4 linked regions of the Saccharomyces cerevisiae S288C genome follow. Changing the gene in region 1 together with any one later gene gives a genetic interaction. Each region holds a gene or a part of one and is shown on either strand. Other genes may lie near its edges. The genes, in order: SSN2, HAP1, TAF13 and BUR6.

Evidence for each region.
Region 2: of SSN2 (region 1) and HAP1, a mutation in one rescues a mutant of the other (synthetic rescue), as found in Saccharomyces cerevisiae (one study listed by BioGRID).
Region 3: mutations in SSN2 (region 1) and TAF13 together harm fitness more than expected from each alone (negative genetic interaction), as found in Saccharomyces cerevisiae (2 studies listed by BioGRID).
Region 4: of SSN2 (region 1) and BUR6, a mutation in one rescues a mutant of the other (synthetic rescue), as found in Saccharomyces cerevisiae (one study listed by BioGRID).

Annotation. Positions count from the first base shown.
Region 1 is NC_001136.10:1,344,345-1,352,213, reverse strand, and holds SSN2 (Ssn2p), read left to right. Parts: upstream 1-2,275; coding exon 2,276-6,538; downstream 6,539-7,869. Other genes in the region: YDR444W (putative hydrolase), read right to left, coding at 1-1,924; adenine phosphoribosyltransferase APT2, read left to right, coding at 7,152-7,697. UniProt on the Saccharomyces cerevisiae protein: Component of the SRB8-11 complex. The SRB8-11 complex is a regulatory module of the Mediator complex which is itself involved in regulation of basal and activated RNA polymerase II-dependent transcription.
Region 2 is NC_001144.5:643,845-652,219, forward strand, and holds HAP1 (Hap1p), read left to right. Parts: upstream 1-2,570; coding exon 2,571-7,079; downstream 7,080-8,375. Other genes in the region: CQD2 (Cqd2p), read left to right, coding at 1-492; NDL1 (Ndl1p), read right to left, coding at 560-1,129; YLR255C (uncharacterized protein), read right to left, coding at 1,756-2,109; YLR256W-A (gag protein), read left to right, coding at 7,273-8,375. UniProt on the Saccharomyces cerevisiae protein: Regulation of oxygen dependent gene expression. It modulates the expression of Iso-1 (CYP1) and Iso-2 (CYP3) cytochrome c.
Region 3 is NC_001145.3:74,258-78,270, forward strand, and holds TAF13 (Taf13p), read left to right. Parts: upstream 1-3,009; coding exon 3,010-3,513; downstream 3,514-4,013. Other genes in the region: ARG81 (Arg81p), read right to left, coding at 141-2,783. UniProt on the Saccharomyces cerevisiae protein: Functions as a component of the DNA-binding general transcription factor complex TFIID. Binding of TFIID to a promoter (with or without TATA element) is the initial step in pre-initiation complex (PIC) formation.
Region 4 is NC_001137.3:490,343-494,446, forward strand, and holds BUR6 (negative cofactor 2 transcription regulator complex subunit BUR6), read right to left. Parts: upstream 1,617-4,104; coding exon 1,188-1,616; downstream 1-1,187. Other genes in the region: YER158C (uncharacterized protein), read right to left, coding at 1-236. UniProt on the Saccharomyces cerevisiae protein: Component of the NC2 complex which represses RNA polymerase II transcription through binding to SPT15/TBP and thereby inhibiting the assembly of the preinitiation complex.

The sequences.
Region 1 (7,869 bases):
GGTGCTCAACCATGTGTTCCACAGCAACATAGCCGTATAAATTAACAAATCTTCTTCTTACTACGATATTGTTATGGGAATCAGGCTGGATCTGCACTAATACTTTTCTCCAAGTCATCGTTTCTTGCCATTCTCTAGCAATGCGCTCTTGAATCCTGTTGACACTCTCATTAGGATATATAAGCTTCTTAACGATAGGCCTATTCTCATAATGCGGCGGAGGTAATTCTTCCGGGTGATAAAGTTTATCATGAATGACTTCATCTTTCCTTACAGCCGGGTTTTTGATATACTCCTGATCTGGTATGGCAGCTGTCAATACCGATAATGCAGACAATACAGTATTGGCTTCTTTTGGAGGTTCGAACTTTTGACCATCAAGAAATACTCCTTGTTCATTATCCGAATCTGAGTTGGCTTCATTAGTTTGTCCTCTCTTATATTTATTTATTTTACTTCCGTGGATAACGGCCTGAGGTAAAGTCCACTGCAACGTCGCTTTTTTGTTTGGACTTTCTGCAGGAATCTCCCCGACGTTGTTACCATTTTCGTTTGAAGGTGATGATGCTCCACTACTCTCTGGGCTATCGGAGGACACAAACTCGCTTGAAGTTGGAGAGTTCTTATTTTTTTTCCTAATTTTCTGGACTTTGTGTATGCTTCGCCAATCCAGATACAAAAGTGCAGCAGTTCGTAATGGAACAATACCATCATCCATGACATTGGCATATATCGTTCTCCTCTTAAAAGACTCAAATACTTTTTTAGCCGGCGCCTGTGGAAGAATTTCTAATATGTACTTGGAATGTTCTGGGTACACTTCATCGTCTGCATACAACCCATCTTTGGACGTTAACGGTGTATATTTTAAATTCAAGTCCCTTCCTGTCAAACCAAGCGCGCCCATATCCAGTGGAACAGACAAATAAAAGGGGAAGTCGCCAATAACACCGATGAAAGGACTAGCTAACGTAATAAAATTAACGGGTTTAACACCTTTAACTGCATCAAAAAAATCTGGTCTTTTAATACTTATGTAACGCACCGCCATGGATTGAGTTGGCCCTCCTAGGGAATGGCCAATGAATGATATCCTGTCTACTTTGTACTTTTTATTCAACTTATCAACAGTCTCAAGCACATACTTTCCAACTCTAACGCCCAAGCAATGTATACCGTGACCTGATTTCCCGACGTTGCCCATAAAACCTCGAACAATTATATTCGGATTAATAGACTCATCCATAGGAAACGTCATTTCTTCAATTTTATCTTTCATATATAGCATATCACACCCGATATTAGAAAATATACCATGTGTCATAATAACGAGATGTACAGGCTTTTCTGGAAATTTTGGTGGTAAATCCCAAAGGGTTTCAGTATCCCACATCTCTAAAGAGACACCTTCAATACTCTTAAAGAGCCCATTCGATTTCTTGACCACCTTCCTTGTAGTCCCTATCCTAAACGAAAATTCCAGCTTCGGAATTGTGGTTACCGCCAACTGCGAAATTATATCTATTGTCCATGAATAAAGAGAAGTGTCGCCAACTCTAGAATTCTCATTCAATAATATTTTTACTTTAAATCTTTCGTCCGGCTTTAGATTTTCAACAAATGGAATAATTTCCTTCCCTGGAAACTTGCGATTCTCATTATAGTTATGCGGCCTAACATCGATGTAAAAAGAATATGGCCCCGTCAAATAAAGCGGTCGCAGAAGCGCGCTTTCCTCGTTCTTGATCCTCAAGAATAGATGCGATACATCTAGCCCTTGTTCCTTAATTACATCTTTGTTCACGGAAAACTTGTAGCGATATAACTCACCTATTCTTAATCTCTTCCGCTCATCAACCAATAAGGTACCTCCGGTTTCATTTATCTCGAGCGAATTTTTCATTCGGTTGATTTTGTAAGGCATTAAGGGATCGAACCAAAATGGAGCAATTCTTTTATAATAAGAAGATGAATAACAGCCGAGTAAGTGATTCTCCTCCGCATTTCCTGCTGTTCATTGTTTTATCATACTGAATAAACAATCCTTAGAAAATAGCATCGATATATTCGCGCTTAACAAAGCGAAGAATTGAAACATTTTTTCAGGTGGAGGGACCGGGTAGTGCCGGATCAAGTAGTGTAGTATTTATTGTAGTACACTCTTACAACAACCCTTTAAGACGAATGGTGTGAAATCGGAAATTACTTTGTTGAAGTAAGGTGTAACTATATTTTAAGAACGTTTAAGCTGGATATCAAGATCTGAGGAGGTAGTATGAGTTCTGACGCTTCCACGTACAGACTTGAGGATGTTTTATCCAGCTTCTATAGAGTGGAGAAAATCAAAAAGATCAACTATCATCAGTACATTTCTAAAGCCCAAAACGATCAATGGTCTATCCAAATGGAATTCATGCTACGGAAGCAGGATCCAAAGACTCTAGTTGCGCTGCTTTCAAGGGATTTATGGTGTTTCAGTATAAATGATGATCCGGTACCGACACCTCCTGCGATAGAACATAAACCAGTGAGCCCAGATAAAATCGGAACTTTCACTGCCGATTATTCAAAGCCAAACTTACCGCCACACTATGCTCTTTTTTTAAAAGCTTTAAGAAGGAAAATTTACATTAATTTGGCATTAGGTTCACACAATAAGCTAATACAATTTGGGAATGCCTGCATATCATTAAGCGGAGTGCCAAATTATCTCGTACAGCTAGAACCACACCTTTTTGTAAACGGAGATCTCACAGTGTCGTTATGTGCCAAGAACATGGGATTAGTACCAATGAAGGAGGAAAATTTGGAAGAATCTTTCCTTTCAAAGCATGCGCTTTATTTAGCACCATCTGGAATAAGGATGCATTTGGCCCCTGCTTCCAAGCAAGGATACTTGATAACGCCACCAAAACATACAGAACTTCTCTTGACGACGTTAAGTGTATCTCATGGTATAAACTTACAAAATAAAAAAAATTTGAAATGGGTTGCTGTTGTTCCTGACTTAGGACATCTCAACGGCCACACACCTACTATAGCTTCGTATTTAACTCCCTTACTTGAAGCAAAGAAGCTAGTATGGCCGCTGCATTTAATCTTCGCCCAACCAGTAGCTGATATAGAAAATTCTACTTCCGGAGATCCATCAGAATTTCACTGTTTGCAAGATGCTCTGGATGCCATTGATGATTTCATACAATTAAAGCAAACAGCTGCCTATAGGACTCCAGGAAGTTCCGGCGTATTGAGCAGTAATATTGCTGGTACAAATCCCTTAAGCTCAGATGGAGCATATACAGAACAGTTTCAACATTATAAGAACAACTCAATTAGTTCTCAACCCGCTTCTTATCATTCTGTCCAAGAAACTAATAAGATATCTCCGAAAGATTTCTCCCCTAATTTCACAGGCATTGATAAATTAATGCTGTCGCCCAGCGATCAATTTGCTCCAGCTTTCTTAAATACCCCTAATAATAACATCAATGAGAATGAATTATTTAATGATAGGAAACAAACTACAGTATCAAATGACTTAGAGAACAGCCCACTGAAAACGGAACTGGAGGCAAATGGTAGATCACTCGAAAAGGTAAATAATTCCGTGAGCAAGACAGGAAGCGTAGACACACTTCATAATAAAGAGGGAACACTGGAACAACGAGAACAGAACGAAAATCTGCCAAGTGATAAAAGTGACTCTATGGTAGACAAGGAATTGTTTGGTGAGGATGAGGATGAGGATTTATTTGGCGATAGCAATAAATCGAATTCTACAAACGAATCGAACAAAAGTATATCGGACGAAATTACCGAGGATATGTTCGAAATGTCTGATGAAGAAGAAAATAATAACAATAAAAGCATTAATAAAAATAACAAGGAAATGCATACTGATCTTGGTAAAGATATTCCATTTTTTCCCTCATCTGAAAAACCGAATATCCGTACGATGAGCGGAACTACAAAAAGATTAAATGGAAAGAGGAAATATTTGGATATTCCGATAGATGAAATGACCTTGCCAACGAGTCCATTATATATGGACCCAGGTGCGCCACTCCCTGTGGAAACACCCCGCGATAGACGCAAAAGTGTGTTCGCTCCACTGAATTTTAACCCCATAATAGAAAACAATGTTGATAACAAATACAAATCTGGAGGGAAATTTTCCTTCAGTCCGTTGCAAAAGGAGGAAGCATTAAACTTTGATATTTCTATGGCGGATCTTTCTAGCTCTGAAGAGGAAGAGGATGAAGAAGAGAACGGTAGCAGCGATGAGGATCTAAAGTCATTGAACGTACGCGACGACATGAAACCTTCTGATAACATCAGTACTAATACTAATATTCATGAGCCTCAATACATAAATTACTCTTCGATCCCAAGTCTACAAGACTCTATTATAAAGCAAGAAAATTTCAATTCAGTAAACGATGCTAATATCACTAGCAATAAGGAAGGCTTCAACTCTATTTGGAAAATTCCTCAAAATGATATACCACAGACCGAGTCACCACTGAAGACCGTTGATTCATCTATTCAACCCATAGAATCCAATATAAAGATGACCTTGGAAGATAATAATGTTACCAGTAATCCGTCCGAATTTACGCCGAATATGGTAAATTCTGAAATTTCTAACCTACCAAAAGACAAGAGTGGTATCCCCGAATTCACACCGGCGGACCCCAATTTATCTTTTGAATCATCAAGTAGTCTACCGTTTCTATTGAGACACATGCCGCTAGCATCTATACCGGACATTTTCATCACGCCTACTCCCGTTGTTACAATTTCAGAAAAAGAACAAGACATCTTAGATTTAATTGCAGAACAAGTCGTCACTGATTATAATATCTTAGGAAACCTCGGTATTCCAAAGATCGCCTATAGGGGAGTTAAAGATTGCCAAGAAGGTTTAATAACAACCACAATGTTACAGTTATTTTCCACTTTCGATAGATTAAATGGCAATGATACGATCTCCAAATTCTATAACATGAAGCAGCCGTACGTTTTTGTAAAGAAACATCACGAACTAATCAAAGTCAAACACGACTCTCAGCCATTTATTAAGTTCCTCAATTTTCGCCCTCCAAATGGAATAAAAAACTTCAAATCCTTATTATTAAGTTCATCTTTCAAAGAAGATTGTCTGTCATTTGCGCCAACTCTATCTCAAACATATATTAATCAAGAGTTAGGGTTTTGTGAGTTGCTTAAACTAACTAATGAAGACCCGCCCGGACTGATGTACTTGAAGGCATTTGATAAAAACAAGTTACTGTTGTTAGCTGCGCAGATTGTTTCATACTGTTCTAATAATAAGAACTCCATCAAAAACGTGCCACCAATATTAATAATTTTACCCTTGGATAATGCAACTCTGACTGAATTAGTAGACAAGGCGAATATTTTTCAGGTGATCAAGAACGAAGTTTGTGCCAAGATGCCTAACATTGAACTATATTTGAAAGTTATTCCTATGGATTTCATTAGAAACGTACTGGTGACAGTGGATCAGTACGTCAACGTAGCAATTTCTATATATAACATGCTGCCGCCAAAATCTGTAAAGTTCACCCACATTGCGCATACGCTGCCGGAGAAAGTGAATTTCAGAACCATGCAGCAACAGCAAATGCAACAGCAACAGCAACAGCAACAGCAGCAGCAGAATAACAGTACAGGATCATCTTCTATAATATATTATGACTCGTACATCCACCTGGCATACTCGCGTAGTGTAGATAAAGAGTGGGTTTTTGCAGCTCTTTCAGATAGCTATGGACAAGGCAGCATGACGAAAACGTGGTACGTCGGGAATTCCAGAGGAAAATTTGACGACGCATGTAATCAAATATGGAATATCGCCCTAAATTTAGCGTCTAAAAAATTCGGAAAAATATGTCTAATTTTAACTAGATTGAATGGCATACTGCCGGATGATGAATTGATGAATTGGAGGAGACTTTCTGGTAGGAATATACATCTTGCTGTGGTGTGTGTGGATGACAACTCTAAAATCTCCTTCATAGATGAGGACAAATTGTACCCTAGTTTCAAGCCGATCTACAAAGACACTAGGTTTGGAGGACGCATGGATATGACCAGATTATACGACTATGAAATAAGGGATATAGACCAGGACATCCATGGAATAGTATTTCAGCACCCGTTCCCACTGGCACACTCACAGCATCGCTGTGCTATTAGGAGTGGTGCTTTGATCAAATTCAAAAAATGCGACGGTGATACGGTTTGGGACAAATTCGCAGTCAACCTTTTAAACTGTCCACATTCTGATAGTACACAATTGCTGGAAACCATCTTAGAAGAGTTTCGCAACCTGGCTGCTCTAAACGTGTGGTACGGTCTCTCTGATGGCGAAGATGGCCATATTCCATGGCATATCCTAGCCGTGAAAAAAATGATGAACACTCTTGTGCACACCAGAGTAAAAATTGCTAATACTTCCGCCGCTACTGTGCATACCGCTACTTCTTCATCAATTATTCTCTCGGATAAATAAACTTTTTCCGGCAACGTTTTCCTGCTCATCTGTAGCCCTATTTACCAGTTTTGGTTTTAGTATTATTCCGGGGTGTAAACCCAGAAGTCTATTTCTCCAGTCGGATTTATAAAAACAAAACCGGAAGCGGGGCGGTACGGCATTTTCACTGGTGATGCACGCCCAGCGTGTAGTCCGAGACAATTTCCACAGAACGCGAATGAGATTGCGTTTAAGGCTGTATTTTCAAGGCACACGAAGCGGCCACGTGGGTCTGCGATGGTGTGTTGATGATGTCAAGAATGGTATCATACTCCGTATAAGGTTATGTAATCGGAAGTCGCGATTCTTTTTCAATTTTTTCTTTTTATTTTTTTCCAGTTTTTTCGTCTCTGCGATGGAAAATTGTTGAAGTTCTCTTGATTAGCAAGTAGTTCTTACATCGCAGGAATCTTATGTTGCATAGCTCAATTTACAAAAATAACAAGGATAAATATATATATATACGCATATACTTTTTGGGTGTTAAAGTAAATTTTGCACCCGTTCATACCAATCGTTCAGATAATTTTCGCTCCTTAAAAAAAGAGAGTGCGTGTGTATATGCCTGTTCATTGCCTGTCCGCCTCTCATTATGTCTATTTCTGAATCTTACGCAAAGGAAATAAAAACTGCATTTAGGCAGTTCACTGACTTTCCCATAGAGGGTGAGCAATTTGAGGATTTTTTACCTATTATTGGCAACCCCACGCTATTCCAAAAGTTGGTACACACGTTCAAGACGCATTTAGAAGAAAAGTTCGGCAAAGAAAAGATCGACTTTATTGCAGGTATAGAAGCTAGAGGCCTTCTATTTGGGCCATCCCTAGCACTGGCATTGGGAGTTGGATTTGTTCCAATAAGGAGAGTTGGAAAATTGCCGGGTGAGTGTGCTTCTATAACATTCACAAAATTAGACCATGAAGAAATTTTTGAAATGCAGGTTGAAGCCATTCCCTTTGATTCCAACGTGGTTGTCGTGGATGATGTTCTCGCCACCGGTGGAACGGCATATGCTGCGGGCGACCTTATCAGACAAGTGGGTGCTCATATTCTGGAATATGACTTTGTGCTAGTGTTAGATAGTCTACATGGTGAGGAGAAATTATCTGCTCCTATTTTTTCCATATTGCACTCCTGATTTAAATTTGTTCTCTGCCTCCTCCTTCAATTATTTTCCTTTCCTTCGCATATTGCTACTTTTTAGCTTGAACTTCTTTTGTTAATATAAACTGGTACTTTACTTTTTAGGTACCTGGTCCACGGCGCCTTATCCTTCTTTTAATTCATATTATTACCTACTCTTATTCTCT
Region 2 (8,375 bases), on another chromosome or scaffold:
GCCAAAGGATTCGCAAACATCACCGACGAACAGTTTCCCCTTTTAGCGGCTGCAATTACGGGCCGTAGCATTGATGCTGCTTTGAATTACGACATTTCAACGAGTCGAACACAAGAAGAAATGGACGTCATGGCAAATGGGATCTTGGAAGGAACGTTACTGAGCGACTTGATGAGCATTTTGTCTAGAATCCCTCGTGTAGTGCTTTTGATATTGAAGACTAACGACCTAACCAGACATCTTGATGAATGTCTACAGAATCCACTCGGGCCAGAGAGGACTTTCCTGATCATGACGCAATACTGCGCCAAGACGGTCTACGACGAAAAAGTGGAAAGAATTAATTCGGAGTATGCGAGGTGGTCTATTAAATGGATGTGGGAGAACTTGACAAACTGGATAGTCTATGAGAGGCGTATTAATCAATTGTATTTTTATGATTTTGTGTTGTGGTGGAAAAAATTTATTCCGAAGACTTGGTTGTCATCTTAAATCGTTAGCGTTCTTTCTACTTGTAAATATATACGTAAAATTATATATAACAATTTTATATGTGTCATTAAACGGAAGACGTTGTTGCTATCACAGTGGATTGTGTTATTTGGGTATTTGGAATATTACAGTGACTTCTTGCAGCGTTGTTAGTTTTTGCCATGTTCTGCAAGTACAAGGTTGAAGATGTGGTCGAGACTTTGATAGTATCCTTAAACAACTTCATTTTTTTATTTTGACTGGGTAACGACCTGGTGTTCCTTCTAGTCTCACCGCTAGTGGCTTCTTCTTTGCTGACTCTTAACTTTTGCAGCGCCTCTTTGGTGTCGAGTAACTCGTGTTCCAGTAGAACGTTGCGTTCCAGTCGTCGGTCACTCTCCAATTGTAATGTCTCTATCTTATTCCTCAGTTGGATATTTTCATTTTCCAACTCATCTACCTGTATCTCTAAATCTGTTATCTGTTTCTTATTGCACTTATTTTGTTGTTGGCTCTCAAGAAGATCGCTTTTTAACTTTGATATTACTTGTTCCAAATCATTTTCATATTCTTTCGTGGCGCCTTCAAGCTCGCTCAACTGGGTCTCCAGTGAGGAGATTATCTGTATAGCTGTTTCCAAATCCAAATTCGGCACCATAGGAAAGTCGCAATTGTTGCACGTATATGTCCCTTGGATATTCCAATTAAATTTGCGAGGATTGTTCTTTCGGCCGTTCGTGGTTTGTTGTAGCCCTTATTATCCCTCTTTTTCATCCTTAATTGCAAATTTATGTATGAAAACTTTCATTTCTAATGTTATTAATTTTCCCGATTCTGCAAACTAATTGATAAAATAATTGATACTTGCCGTCACAGATGATATAGAGAACGTTCAGTTTTTTTATTGTTCTATTGTAAAAAAAAAAAAAAAAGGAAGAAAAAAGCAAGATCCGATAGGAGAAGACCTCTTTAGCGGCTTTACTGCGCTACAAATAAGGTTACGAATATGCGGAATAGTTCATGATACGTTGTTGAGTTATAGTATGTAGCCAATATTTCCTGTTTTTCCGCTGTTACCCTTTTCGAAGGATCGATGAACGCTTCTGTCACTTAGTAAGCAAATGTACGAAACCCAGAGCATTGTATGTACACCAGCAGTCGTTTTTTGTAGCTCTTTTCCATGGATGGACGATGATGGCAAGACGCGATCGTGGCGGAGCCTCACTAAGAAAAACAATTGTGGAGAATCTATACACACAGAAATCGTACTTCAAGAAATATTGATTAGCGAGCCTTTAAGCACAGAACAATCTCTATAGCCAACATCTTGTGGAAGCTACAACTGTTTTTCTTGTTCCCGCTTGAGTAGGGCCTTACAAGGCAAGACCGTATAAAATAAAGATAACTCCTCCGCCGTATCCTGAATTTCGTGTGCCCTTTCTCTCTCTCTCTCTTCCTCTTTCTTCCTTTCCCTTTCCCTCTTCTTCTTATCTCAACAACCGCCCAGCGCATTAGCAAACCACAGTACGAGCTGTACGGCTGAGCCACTGCACCTGTCTGGCTTGCCCCTTTTTGTTGAGTAACCGGGTAATAATTCGGCTGTCTAAACGATACAATCCTCGTTCCACCCACACCCATTCACCCGTCGGGCGAAATCCACCCTCGCGGCCTCGTTTAGAATACCAGGCAACGGCACCAGCAACGGCCCCGGTAACTCGATCGCGTTCATATATATCGGATATACTCTTGAGGCACAATTTTTTTCGGTTTTCGGTTTTTTCTATTATTCTTCGAGATGCAAAGCACACATTTGAGACTCACAACTCAAGATACCGCAAGCACACAGACGCTATTGTTCTCCCAAAGAATAGGTTCCTGCAGTGCTCTTTTAAGGTTTGAAGATATTGCACAAAATTGTATCTGATTTCATCTCATCGAACCTCATTCCATCAACTTCCTTTTATCAAAGCATCTTGTTTTGTTTTCGCAGAAAATTTTTCTTCCCTTTCAATTTGGCCTTTTAGTTTTTCTCCAGTCGCAGGCAAGAAGGTAAGGAAATAGAAGAAAAAGAAAAAAAAAAAAAGGGAACAATAGGTTAGATGTCGAATACCCCTTATAATTCATCTGTGCCTTCCATTGCATCCATGACCCAGTCTTCGGTCTCAAGAAGTCCTAACATGCATACAGCAACTACGCCCGGTGCCAACACCAGCTCTAACTCTCCACCCTTGCACATGTCTTCAGATTCGTCCAAGATCAAGAGGAAGCGTAACAGAATTCCGCTCAGTTGCACCATTTGTCGGAAAAGGAAAGTCAAATGTGACAAACTCAGACCACACTGCCAGCAGTGCACTAAAACTGGGGTAGCCCATCTCTGCCACTACATGGAACAGACCTGGGCAGAAGAGGCAGAGAAAGAATTGCTGAAGGACAACGAATTAAAGAAGCTTAGGGAGCGCGTAAAATCTTTAGAAAAGACTCTTTCTAAGGTGCACTCTTCTCCTTCGTCTAACTCCTTGAAAAGTTACAACACTCCCGAGAGCAGCAACCTGTTTATGGGTAGCGATGAACACACCACCCTTGTTAATGCAAATACAGGCTCTGCTTCCTCTGCCTCGCATATGCATCAGCAACAACAGCAACAGCAGCAACAGGAACAACAACAAGACTTTTCCAGAAGTGCGAACGCCAACGCGAATTCCTCGTCCCTTTCTATCTCAAATAAATATGACAACGATGAGCTGGACTTAACTAAGGACTTTGATCTTTTGCATATCAAAAGTAACGGAACCATCCACTTAGGTGCCACCCACTGGTTGTCTATCATGAAAGGTGACCCGTACCTAAAACTTTTGTGGGGTCATATCTTCGCTATGAGGGAAAAGTTAAATGAATGGTACTACCAAAAAAATTCGTACTCTAAGCTGAAGTCAAGCAAATGTCCCATCAATCACGCGCAAGCGCCGCCTTCTGCCGCTGCCGCCGCTACCAGAAAATGTCCTGTTGATCACTCCGCGTTTTCGTCTGGCATGGTGGCCCCAAAGGAGGAGACTCCTCTTCCTAGGAAATGTCCAGTTGACCACACCATGTTCTCTTCGGGAATGATTCCTCCCAGAGAGGACACTTCGTCCCAGAAGAGGTGTCCCGTTGACCACACCATGTATTCCGCAGGAATGATGCCGCCCAAGGACGAGACACCTTCCCCATTTTCCACTAAAGCTATGATAGACCATAACAAGCATACAATGAATCCGCCTCAGTCAAAATGTCCTGTGGACCATAGAAACTATATGAAGGATTATCCCTCTGACATGGCAAATTCTTCTTCGAACCCGGCAAGTCGTTGCCCCATTGACCATTCAAGCATGAAAAATACAGCGGCCTTACCAGCTTCAACGCACAATACCATCCCACACCACCAACCACAGTCCGGATCTCATGCTCGTTCGCATCCCGCACAAAGCAGGAAACATGATTCCTACATGACAGAATCTGAAGTCCTCGCAACACTTTGTGAGATGTTGCCACCAAAGCGCGTCATCGCATTATTCATCGAGAAATTCTTCAAACATTTATACCCTGCCATTCCAATCTTAGATGAACAGAATTTCAAAAATCACGTGAATCAAATGCTTTCGTTGTCTTCGATGAATCCCACAGTTAACAACTTTGGTATGAGCATGCCATCTTCATCTACACTAGAGAACCAACCCATAACACAAATCAATCTTCCAAAACTTTCCGATTCTTGTAACTTAGGTATTCTGATAATAATCTTGAGATTGACATGGCTATCCATACCTTCTAATTCCTGCGAAGTCGACCTGGGAGAAGAAAGTGGCTCATTTTTAGTGCCCAACGAATCTAGCAATATGTCTGCATCTGCATTGACCTCGATGGCTAAAGAAGAATCACTTCTGCTAAAGCATGAGACACCGGTCGAGGCACTGGAGCTATGTCAAAAATACTTGATTAAATTCGATGAACTTTCTAGTATTTCCAATAACAACGTTAATTTAACCACGGTGCAGTTTGCCATTTTTTACAACTTCTATATGAAAAGTGCCTCTAATGATTTGACTACCTTGACAAATACCAACAACACTGGCATGGCCAATCCTGGTCACGATTCCGAGTCTCACCAGATCCTATTGTCCAATATTACTCAAATGGCCTTTAGTTGTGGGTTACACAGAGACCCTGATAATTTTCCTCAATTAAACGCTACCATTCCAGCAACCAGCCAGGACGTGTCTAACAACGGGAGCAAAAAGGCAAACCCTAGCACCAATCCAACTTTGAATAACAACATGTCTGCTGCCACTACCAACAGCAGTAGCAGATCTGGCAGTGCTGATTCAAGAAGTGGTTCTAACCCTGTGAACAAGAAGGAAAATCAGGTTAGTATCGAAAGATTTAAACACACTTGGAGGAAAATTTGGTATTACATTGTTAGCATGGATGTTAACCAATCTCTTTCCCTGGGGAGCCCTCGACTACTAAGAAATCTGAGGGATTTCAGCGATACAAAGCTACCAAGTGCGTCAAGGATTGATTATGTTCGCGATATCAAAGAGTTAATCATTGTGAAGAATTTTACTCTTTTTTTCCAAATTGATTTGTGTATTATTGCTGTATTAAATCACATTTTGAATGTTTCTTTAGCAAGAAGCGTGAGAAAATTTGAACTGGATTCATTGATTAATTTATTGAAAAATCTGACCTATGGTACTGAGAATGTCAATGATGTAGTGAGCTCCTTGATCAACAAAGGGTTATTACCAACTTCGGAAGGTGGTTCTGTAGATTCAAATAATGATGAAATTTACGGTCTACCGAAACTACCCGATATTCTAAACCATGGTCAACATAACCAAAACTTGTATGCTGATGGAAGAAATACTTCTAGTAGTGATATAGATAAGAAATTGGACCTTCCTCACGAATCTACAACGAGAGCTCTATTCTTTTCCAAGCATATGACAATTAGAATGTTGCTGTACTTATTGAACTACATTTTGTTTACTCATTATGAACCAATGGGCAGTGAAGATCCTGGTACTAATATCCTAGCTAAGGAGTACGCTCAAGAGGCATTAAATTTTGCCATGGATGGCTACAGAAACTGCATGATTTTCTTCAACAATATCAGAAACACCAATTCACTATTCGATTACATGAATGTTATCTTGTCTTACCCTTGTTTGGACATTGGACATCGTTCTTTACAATTTATCGTTTGTTTGATCCTGAGAGCTAAATGTGGCCCATTGACTGGTATGCGTGAATCATCGATCATTACTAATGGTACATCAAGTGGATTTAATAGTTCGGTAGAAGATGAGGACGTCAAAGTTAAACAAGAATCTTCTGATGAATTGAAAAAAGACGATTTCATGAAAGATGTAAATTTGGATTCAGGCGATTCATTAGCAGAGATTCTAATGTCAAGAATGCTGCTATTTCAAAAACTAACAAAACAACTATCAAAGAAGTACAACTACGCTATTCGTATGAACAAATCCACTGGATTCTTTGTCTCTTTACTAGATACACCTTCAAAGAAATCAGACTCGAAATCGGGTGGTAGTTCATTCATGTTGGGTAATTGGAAACATCCAAAGGTTTCAAACATGAGCGGATTTCTTGCTGGTGACAAAGACCAATTACAGAAATGCCCCGTGTACCAAGATGCGCTGGGGTTTGTTAGTCCAACCGGTGCTAATGAAGGTTCTGCTCCGATGCAAGGCATGTCCTTACAGGGCTCTACTGCTAGGATGGGAGGGACCCAGTTGCCACCAATTAGATCATACAAACCTATCACGTACACAAGTAGTAATCTACGTCGTATGAATGAAACGGGTGAGGCAGAAGCTAAGAGAAGAAGATTTAATGATGGCTATATTGATAATAATAGTAACAACGATATACCTAGAGGAATCAGCCCAAAACCTTCAAATGGGCTATCATCGGTGCAGCCACTATTATCGTCATTTTCCATGAACCAGCTAAACGGGGGTACCATTCCAACGGTTCCATCGTTAACCAACATTACTTCACAAATGGGAGCTTTACCATCTTTAGATAGGATCACCACTAATCAAATAAATTTGCCAGACCCATCTAGAGATGAAGCATTTGACAACTCCATCAAGCAAATGACGCCTATGACAAGTGCATTCATGAATGCTAATACTACAATTCCAAGTTCAACTTTAAACGGGAATATGAACATGAATGGAGCTGGAACTGCGAATACAGATACAAGTGCCAACGGCAGTGCTTTATCGACACTGACAAGCCCACAAGGCTCAGACTTAGCATCCAATTCTGCTACACAGTATAAACCTGACTTAGAAGACTTTTTGATGCAAAATTCTAACTTTAATGGGCTAATGATAAATCCTTCCAGTCTGGTAGAAGTTGTTGGTGGATACAACGATCCTAATAACCTTGGAAGAAATGACGCGGTTGATTTTCTACCCGTTGATAATGTTGAAATTGATGGTGTTGGAATAAAAATCAACTATCATCTACTAACTAGTATTTACGTTACTAGTATATTATCATATACGGTGTTAGAAGATGACGCAAATGATGAGAAATAGTCATCTAAATTAGTGGAAGCTGAAACGCAAGGATTGATAATGTAATAGGATCAATGAATATTAACATATAAAACGATGATAATAATATTTATAGAATTGTGTAGAATTGCAGATTCCCTTTTATGGATTCCTAAATCCTCGAGGAGAACTTCTAGTATATTCTGTATACCTAATATTATAGCCTTTATCAACAATGGAATCCCAACAATTATCTCAACACCCACACATTTCTCATGGTAGCGCCTGTGCTTCGGTTACTTCTAAGGAAGTCCACACAAATCAAGATCCGTTAGACGTTTCAGCTTCCAAAACAGAAGAATGTGAGAAGGCTTCCACTAAGGCTAACTCTCAACAGACAACAACACCTGCTTCATCAGCTGTTCCAGAGAACCCCCATCATGCCTCTCCTCAACCTGCTTCAGTACCACCTCCACAGAATGGGCCGTACCCACAGCAGTGCATGATGACCCAAAACCAAGCCAATCCATCTGGTTGGTCATTTTACGGACACCCATCTATGATTCCGTATACACCTTATCAAATGTCGCCTATGTACTTTCCACCTGGGCCACAATCACAGTTTCCGCAGTATCCATCATCAGTTGGAACGCCTCTGAGCACTCCATCACCTGAGTCAGGTAATACATTTACTGATTCATCCTCAGCGGACTCTGATATGACATCCACTAAAAAATATGTCAGACCACCACCAATGTTAACCTCACCTAATGACTTTCCAAATTGGGTTAAAACATACATCAAATTTTTACAAAACTCGAATCTCGGTGGTATTATTCCGACAGTAAACGGAAAACCCGTACGTCAGATCACTGATGATGAACTCACCTTCTTGTATAACACTTTTCAAATATTTGCTCCCTCTCAATTCCTACCTACCTGGGTCAAAGACATCCTATCCGTTGATTATACGGATATCATGAAAATTCTTTCCAAAAGTATTGAAAAAATGCAATCTGATACCCAAGAGGCAAACGACATTGTGACCCTGGCAAATTTGCAATATAATGGCAGTACACCTGCAGATGCATTTGAAACAAAAGTCACAAACATTATCGACAGACTGAACAATAATGGCATTCATATCAATAACAAGGTCGCATGCCAATTAATTATGAGAGGTCTATCTGGCGAATATAAATTTTTACGCTACACACGTCATCGACATCTAAATATGACAGTCGCTGAACTGTTCTTAGATATCCATGCTATTTATGAAGAACAACAGGGATCGAGAAACAGCAAACCTAATTACAGGAGAAATCTGAGTGATGAGAA
Region 3 (4,013 bases), on another chromosome or scaffold:
CAAGCCCAATATTCTAATTAAAGGCGTTTATATATTTGTACTTTATGGTATGTGCATATGTATTGTAAAGAATTATTTCAAGACACAGCTCTTCCAGCTACTGGCTCCGGCTATTCATGAAAAATCCAAAAATAACATATTTATGATAGCATCAGATTCATTTCCCAATCTTTATAAACAGAATACCAATTATCGCCCGGCTCATCCTCTTTCCGTCGCCTCCAAACTTCCAACATTACTTGCCTGGCTCCCCAATAGGAGCCCACTCCACTTTCAGCTAATTTGGCTGCCCATCTTCTAAACTCTTGCTGTCTGTTTTCATCTGTGCAAGCACATCCTGCCATGAAACCTTGCCAAATTAAAGGGACAATTTTCACTTTTTTTTGATCCACCAATTCTTCCATTGCATTTAAGTGATCTAATACTTTGGCAACATAGTTTTGTAGAAATTGGCAATTTAAACTTCTTGCCATTGTAAAATAATAAATAATTAAACTGAAATAAAAGCTCATTGTATGGTGATATAGTGCTTCAGCCGTTGAGTTTATGAAGCTTTTTCCCTCCGAATTTTCTTGATGGAAGTTCCATTCTGATTTCCATTTCAATAATCTTTTTTCGAAATTTAACGAGAGTTCATTAAATTTTCGGGGTACAGGTAGGTAAGTTAAATTATAATATTCATTATGTCTCACTATCCTAACACAGTCTGAAAATAGTAATATTAATGAATTAGGCAATCCATAGAGTGAATCTGTACCAATTATGTTTTCATCAGTCTTCGATACTAGCTTAGATATATCAGATTTATTATAGTAACTTTCTGTTGCTATGTTGGTAAAAATTGGAGGAGTGGTCGAAGATGGAGTAGAGTCAGCGGATACGTTTGTGATAGGCTCCTTAACGAATTCAATATGTATTTTGCCGTCATTTTCATTGAGTGCCTCTCTAAATAAACCTTCCTGCACAACGTCAACTCTTGGCTCACTGCTACTGGTAGTAGCGTTAGATGTATCTAATGGTTTGTAATTATCATCTTCTTCACTTGGTAAAATAACAATTTCCTTTGCCCTGACTTTATCCAACGCAGTGCTATCTTGAATTAACTTCAGAAACGAGAAAATCCTGTGTAAGGTTTTTGTCTTTTCAGAAATATTAGGTCTTAGTTTCATTCTTGACTCAACGAAGTCTTCACAAAGAGCCAAGTGATCCTGGCAATCTGCCATCGTCCCCCATACAACATCAATAGAGTTCATAGATAAGATCGCAGTTAGTACGTCTTTATATTTCTCAGGTATGCTTGATTTTGTGTTCAAACATAATCTTAGAAAGTTCGAGGCTTGATTTCTCAATTCGATACCTAGGCCCAGAAAGTATTTTTGTAGTTTGTAGTTCCTTGGGTACTTGCTTTGCAAGTGGAAGCAAGAGACAGCAAGAAGAGCATTCAACAACGCATTCCTCGAGTTGGAGGATTGTCCCAAACCCGCTAAATCGCCTAATGCCATCAAGGCTCTGGGGAAGTATAATGTTTTCCATGGGTTCTTTTCGAGCACGACCACTGTCATTTTATCTGCAACATTATTAAAATAATGATTTAAAAGAAATCTCGCTAAACCATGTACGGTAAGGTCTGTTTTGGGTATAATATCTACCAATTCAGGTGGTAGGTCACTGGAATAGGATGTGAGTTCTAACATGGACTTAGGCATGCGTGATTCTTCATTTGGAGGAGCTAGAGTTATTTTATTCAGATCAGATGCGGGCAGAGATCTTGGTTCAATATTGACGAACACATCGTCGATCAATGCTTGAGGGTCTGGTTCCTCACTGTTCGAAGAGTTTTTCTGGAAGAGTAACTTCAAGTTTTGCTGGTAAAGTTTATCATTGGCACTGGCTGCTTTATTAGGTAAAGTTGATGAACCTTGATTATCAGCCTCAAAGGCACATCCATGTTCTTTGGCATTCACATGCTCTTCCCCACTCACGACATTAGAGTTTTCCTCTAATGAGATTTCTTGTGGCTGTGTGTGTCCTAAGTGATGTCCCTGTAAGGTCACCGCTGACAATAATGCATCATCTCTGAGTTCACTCGAGATCCATTCGTAACCTGTTATATTCAGATTGTTCCAGTCATAATCTAAAAGATTTGGTGTTGGTGGAACACCATCATTAGCAGAGAGAATACCTGTCTTTACATGCCCTTTATTTCTCAACTTGTCTTCAATATGTCTAATTGGAAAGGAAATAGTTGAAGAAGATGGTAAAGAAGATAACGAAATAGAAGCTGAGCTCTCCAAGCTTTTGGCAACTCTTTTCCTATTGCGCTTCTTCCTTGGAGCGTACTGCTTGTCGATCTTATCTGTTCCTTTAAACACCCCAAATTTCTTTATGATCCACGTCTTGTTATCGCTTATTTTCTCAATTGGGGGAGTATGCAGCATTGTTAGCTCATCATCCATATCTTCATGATACACGTATTCTTCATCATAGCGCACAAAATCGATGTTCCGTCGTTGGTATTGTGGTTCATCGACACTACCTGATAAGTTCGTAGTAGTTGCAGGAGAATTTTGTGGGATTGGGACACCGTACGGGTCAAATTGCATAGGCTTAGACCACCGGAGTTTGATATCATAACCGCCACAAGGCAAATTAGACTTTTCACATCGTTGGCAGTGGGGATGCCGAAGATCACACTTAACTTTTCTTCCTCTGCACGTCCAACACCCAGTAAACGTCTTTGCCCTTCCCATTTTTTTAGGGCCATTCTTGCTGGAAATTCCCATTATATCTGCAACTTAAAATTTTCGAGGTACTGATATCGGTAACTATTGCCCACTAAAGCATCAAATCTAAAAGAGATGCTTTTCGCAAGGTGTATTTTTTTTTCATTTATTTTTGAGTTCTAGCGGAAACCGCAGGCGAAGAGTCATTGATAACAAAGAAGGTTCATCAACAACTGCAACATGAAATCCAAAAGGTAACGGCAGGCGAGGGTGAGCTGGATAAGATATGTCTAGGAAGCTGAAAAAAACGAATCTGTTTAACAAGGATGTAAGTTCCTTGCTTTACGCTTACGGCGATGTGCCGCAGCCACTACAAGCTACTGTGCAGTGTTTGGATGAATTGGTATCTGGATATTTGGTGGATGTTTGTACTAACGCATTCCATACAGCCCAGAATTCTCAGCGCAATAAGCTCCGATTGGAAGATTTCAAGTTTGCCCTCCGTAAAGACCCGATAAAGCTTGGGAGAGCAGAAGAACTGATAGCTACTAATAAGTTGATTACGGAAGCTAAGAAGCAGTTCAATGAGACAGACAATCAAAATTCATTAAAGAGGTACAGAGAAGAGGATGAAGAGGGTGACGAGATGGAAGAGGATGAGGATGAGCAGCAGGTGACGGATGATGATGAGGAAGCAGCGGGCCGTAATAGCGCTAAACAATCAACAGATTCGAAGGCAACAAAGATTAGGAAGCAGGGGCCTAAAAACCTCAAGAAAACAAAAAAATGATATAGCTACTTGGCAGGCCCGTTTACGTAGGCTTGATTCAGATATACGTAGTACATATGTCCCTTTGATTTATTAATTAGGCGTTTGCTCTATAAAAGGGGTTTTGAGTTTGCGTTGGTGCTGAACAAAAACACTTGTCATTACAATGGCACAATTTTGAATGCATTGTTTTCTTATTTATATATTTTTCCAAGTAAAATCTTAGGATTCAACTGGTACATTTATTCTTTTAGATTCAAAAACCCTGCTACATTAGTAACGGCAAACTCCTCCCTCTGATAGTTGTGTTGCAATACTCAGCTGTCAGCATTGGATAGTTAAGATGTATTGTTAAGTCACCGCCTGAAACAGCAACTTAAGCTCCCTTCTGTGCTTAGGAAGGTACGTGCGCCTCCTAACCCATCTATTATTTGATTCTAAGTCACAACGAGCCTGTACTAACGAGTTTTAGAAGCGATCGTTATCAGTAAAAAATGTCTCCTGCGGTAAGTTATTTTTAC
Region 4 (4,104 bases), on another chromosome or scaffold:
TTATTGTACTGGCGCATCGGTGCGCCATTACCATTATTGTCTGATCTATTAGCCACCAGAGTAGAGTGCCTCCTTGAGACGGTAGCATCCGGTATGTAGAACAGATCAATCGTAGACGCAGATCTAGCGTCCACAGCCCTAGGAATACTCAAAGAGTCTCTCCTTGAAGGAGAAGTGAGCGTGTGAAAATCATTACCATGCAAACTCCTCCTCGAGGAAGAACCCTGCTGTAACATGCTGATTAAGAGTGAGTGGAAGTAGTAGCGAGCGGTGGTGGCTATGTGTTTAGCCTGGTAAAATGAATCCTATTGTGTCAGCACGGAAAAAACAACAATAGCAATAATATGACAATAAACAAGTATTTTGCCGTAGCTCTCCTTCAGTTATTTGATGATGAGTGTAAACAGATTACTGTATATAGAGCAGTAGTAAAGAAAGCTGAAGTCAAGTGCAGATGAAAGACAAATACAAAAGGAGTACGCCTGTATTATATTTCCAAGTGCGTAATTTTGAGGTATTAATATTAAGTAATTATCAGAAGCAAGAAGCCAACAACCAGACCGCTTGGGCTTAAACTAGCATATCAGCACAATCTGCAAGTATACATTTCTTTGGTGTCTCGAACGCAACGCGGTGCAAACCGCGAGAACCTTAACGATTTTTCACACTCCTTCCTCCGTTGCTGCAAGAATCCTCGAGCTAGCCCTTCGTCCGCTTCCTTTGGCACTTGAAAGAAAAAATTAGCTTTTCTTTTTCCTCCTTTCTTTTTGTCTTTCTGGTGTAGGCACAGTTGGAAGGATGGGACACCTAAAAATCTTATTTAAGAAGTCACAGACGGTAACGCAGCGCCTCGTTTCTAAATCGTATAGCAGGCTGAGCGCCCGCACACCCACCTGCGGGAGTTACTCCGGGGATCGTATGGGGTGATGCATGCTCTTTCGTAAACCTTAAGAATAGCGTTAATTTTTTCCTAAATAGGAATACACATACTCATGCTATGTAACTGTAGAGAAAGGTACAGATTACATGAGGCGCCGGTTGTCGTTGATACATATGTGATTACGTTTCGTCCTTGATAATAGAGTATAATATATATGTGCAGACATATATAGATATAAATACATTGGTATATGGATATATATAGATGTGGTATTCATTTTACACTAAGTTACATCGCCCCGTTCTGCTCAGGCACTCTCTTCCTCCGGTTGTGTTTGGCCTTCTTCTACGCATAGACCTTCCCTTAAGAAATCGAATTTTTCGTCGTTTAAAATTGTTTTTTTTAGTATTTCGGCGGTTATTCTCTTGGTTCCTTGTCCTCTTGCCATCTCCCCGCTTTTTTTCACCAATAACGCTATAAAAAACTCTAGGGACCTGCCCGCTATTACGGGCGTGGCTTGTGAAACTTTTCCTATATCCTCGTCTGTCTGCATTATTTTCTTTACCTTGGCCGGAGGGAAGTGTGTCTTTATTCTGTCGAATACATCACCTAGCTCGTTGTTGTTATTCGAGTTGGTACCCATGTTACCTACTGGACTCCCTCCAGCATCAAGTGGTACCTCATGTTCAGGTTTTATTGGTGGTAGTTGTGTTGTAACTGGTACTTGATCTGCCATTAAGAATGTAGTGATGAGTACTGTAACTGGTTTTATTTTTTTTTTTGAATTTTTATTTTCGTGACGTGCTTTTTTTTCCGTTTTTGGTTTTAATGCCCCAAAATAAAATAATCCCCTTTTGTATACGTTTTTCTTTGCCTGCCTTTTTATTTCTCAGTGCATTGCCCTTTCTTTCGCAAATTCATGTGTTTTAAGGGTAATAGGAAATATCACGCTACCTGACAAAAAAAAAAAAAATTAATTTTGGCCTGGAAAATTCTTCTCCTTAAATACAAAAAGATTCTTTTTTATAGAATGTCATAATTCACGAACAGTTAAAAAAATATAAACACACAACGTAACACAGATGCCGGGTTACGATATCCGAAAAAGTTGATTAAAAGAAAAATAATCCTTCCCCGCCAGGACTTGAACCTGGAATCTTCTGGTTCGTAGCCAGACGCCGTGACCATTGGGCCACGAGGAATAGGATGTTCAGTGTGTTGTATTACGGGCTCGAGTAATACCGGAGTGTCTTGACAATCCTAATATAAACAGTCTTAGGGAAGTAACCAGTTGTCAAAACAGTTTATCAGATTAATTCACGGAATGTTACTTATCTTATATATTATATAAAATATGAATCATACTAAGTGGTGGAAGCGCGGAATCTCGGATCTAAACTAATTGTTCAGGCATTTATACTTTTGGGTAGTTCAGCTAGGGAAGGACGGGTTTTGTCTCATGTTGTTCGTTTTTCAATCCTTGCGTTTCAGCTTCCTCTAACATCGATGACAGCTTCTCATAACTTATGTCATCATCTTAACACCGTATATGATAATATATTGATAATATAACTATTAGTTGATAGACGATAGTGGATTTTTATTCCAACATACCACCCATAATGTAATAGATCTAATGAATCCATTTGTTTGTTAATAGTTTGAATGTTTTTATCGGAAGAGGTTTGGTCATTACGTCTGCAATATTCTTTTTGGTTTCGATATAGCATACGTGCAGATGATTTCCTGATACTTCATCTCTTAGTCTCATTGCTTTAGTACCAAAAAATCTGTTTCTAAATTTCTCTTCATTATTGGATATAATTATACTGATTGTAGATTTACTGTCGGTTAGTAATCCTTTAGTAATTGGTTTCTTGTTAAGTTCTTGCACAAGGTGACTGAGGTTATTTAATAATGGGACAGATTCACTTATCGCGTGTATTTCTGCTTCCGTAGTTGAAGTACATGTTAATGAAGCCTTGGTGGACTTTCCTCCAATTACTTTTCCATTAAGTAAATATATGTTGCCAATTTGTGATTTATAATACGGTTGGTTACCATACGATGCATCGCTTATAACAACTAATTTATTTGTTGGCTTAACAGGTTTGCTTTTGTGCCATATTAATTGCTTATCTCTCGTATTCCATATGAACTGTATCAATTCATATGTCATATCTAACACTTGCTTGGACGGAAATAGTATATGTTGTGCAAGTGTGTTGATGTAGTATAATAGGTCAAATCTAAATTTATATCCAACATATGATGCTAGACCTATCAGCTTTTGCATTTCATGTACCTTCATTTTGTAATCATCTTCTTCTAGCTCTAGTTCTTGCTGGTCTATATATAGACCTGGTTGACCTGGAGCGCTAAGTTTCCTTCCTTTTGGGTTCAAAGGTACGTTTAGTTTGGGTATTTTTTCAGTTAATGAGTTTTCCATACCTAATTTCATGTATTTACCTCTTTGATATTTGATTTCTAAGCCAAGTATGTCGTACTGAATTTCGTTATCACTTTCACCCAGATTTATTATCTTTGTATCGTATTGTTTCTTGAGTGTTGTTATGATTTTCTTATTTGCATTTAAGTCTTTGCTGAACAATATCATATCATCAACGAATAAGCAAATTGTTACTTGACTATTCTTAAATACGCATGACCATCCACGAACTTCTTCCATACCACACTGTTTTATCAGGTATGATTTGATAGTTTCGTACCAGTTCGCTCCACTTTGTTTCAATCCATAAAGTGATTTCTTCAAACGTATTAACTTATCATTCATTCCTAAATGTGGTGGAGGTCTTATGTATAGTTCTTCTTTGATGTCTGCATACAAATATGCCGAAGATATGTCTAATTGTGTAATATAGTAGTTATTGTCTAATGCAAGTGACAGGGATGTCATTAATGCATAGTGATGTACGGTATTGGATTGCATGCCTGGGTCGTAAGTGTCAGGATGTTGAATATCACCTCTTGCAACAAATCTAGCTTTATGAGTACCGTCACGTTTCCTGTTAAAGATAAACATTGAATTTATTACTCTTTTGGGGTCTATTTCTTTTCTGTCATAATATCTGTCAGTGTCCCAAGTTTTCATCTTCAACAGTTGATTGACTTCTTTGTGGTATGCCTGGATATATTTTTCTTTTTCTTTAATATCTTTATTATAGGTGATTGCCTCATCGTATCGTAAGGTTGTTCGTATTGGT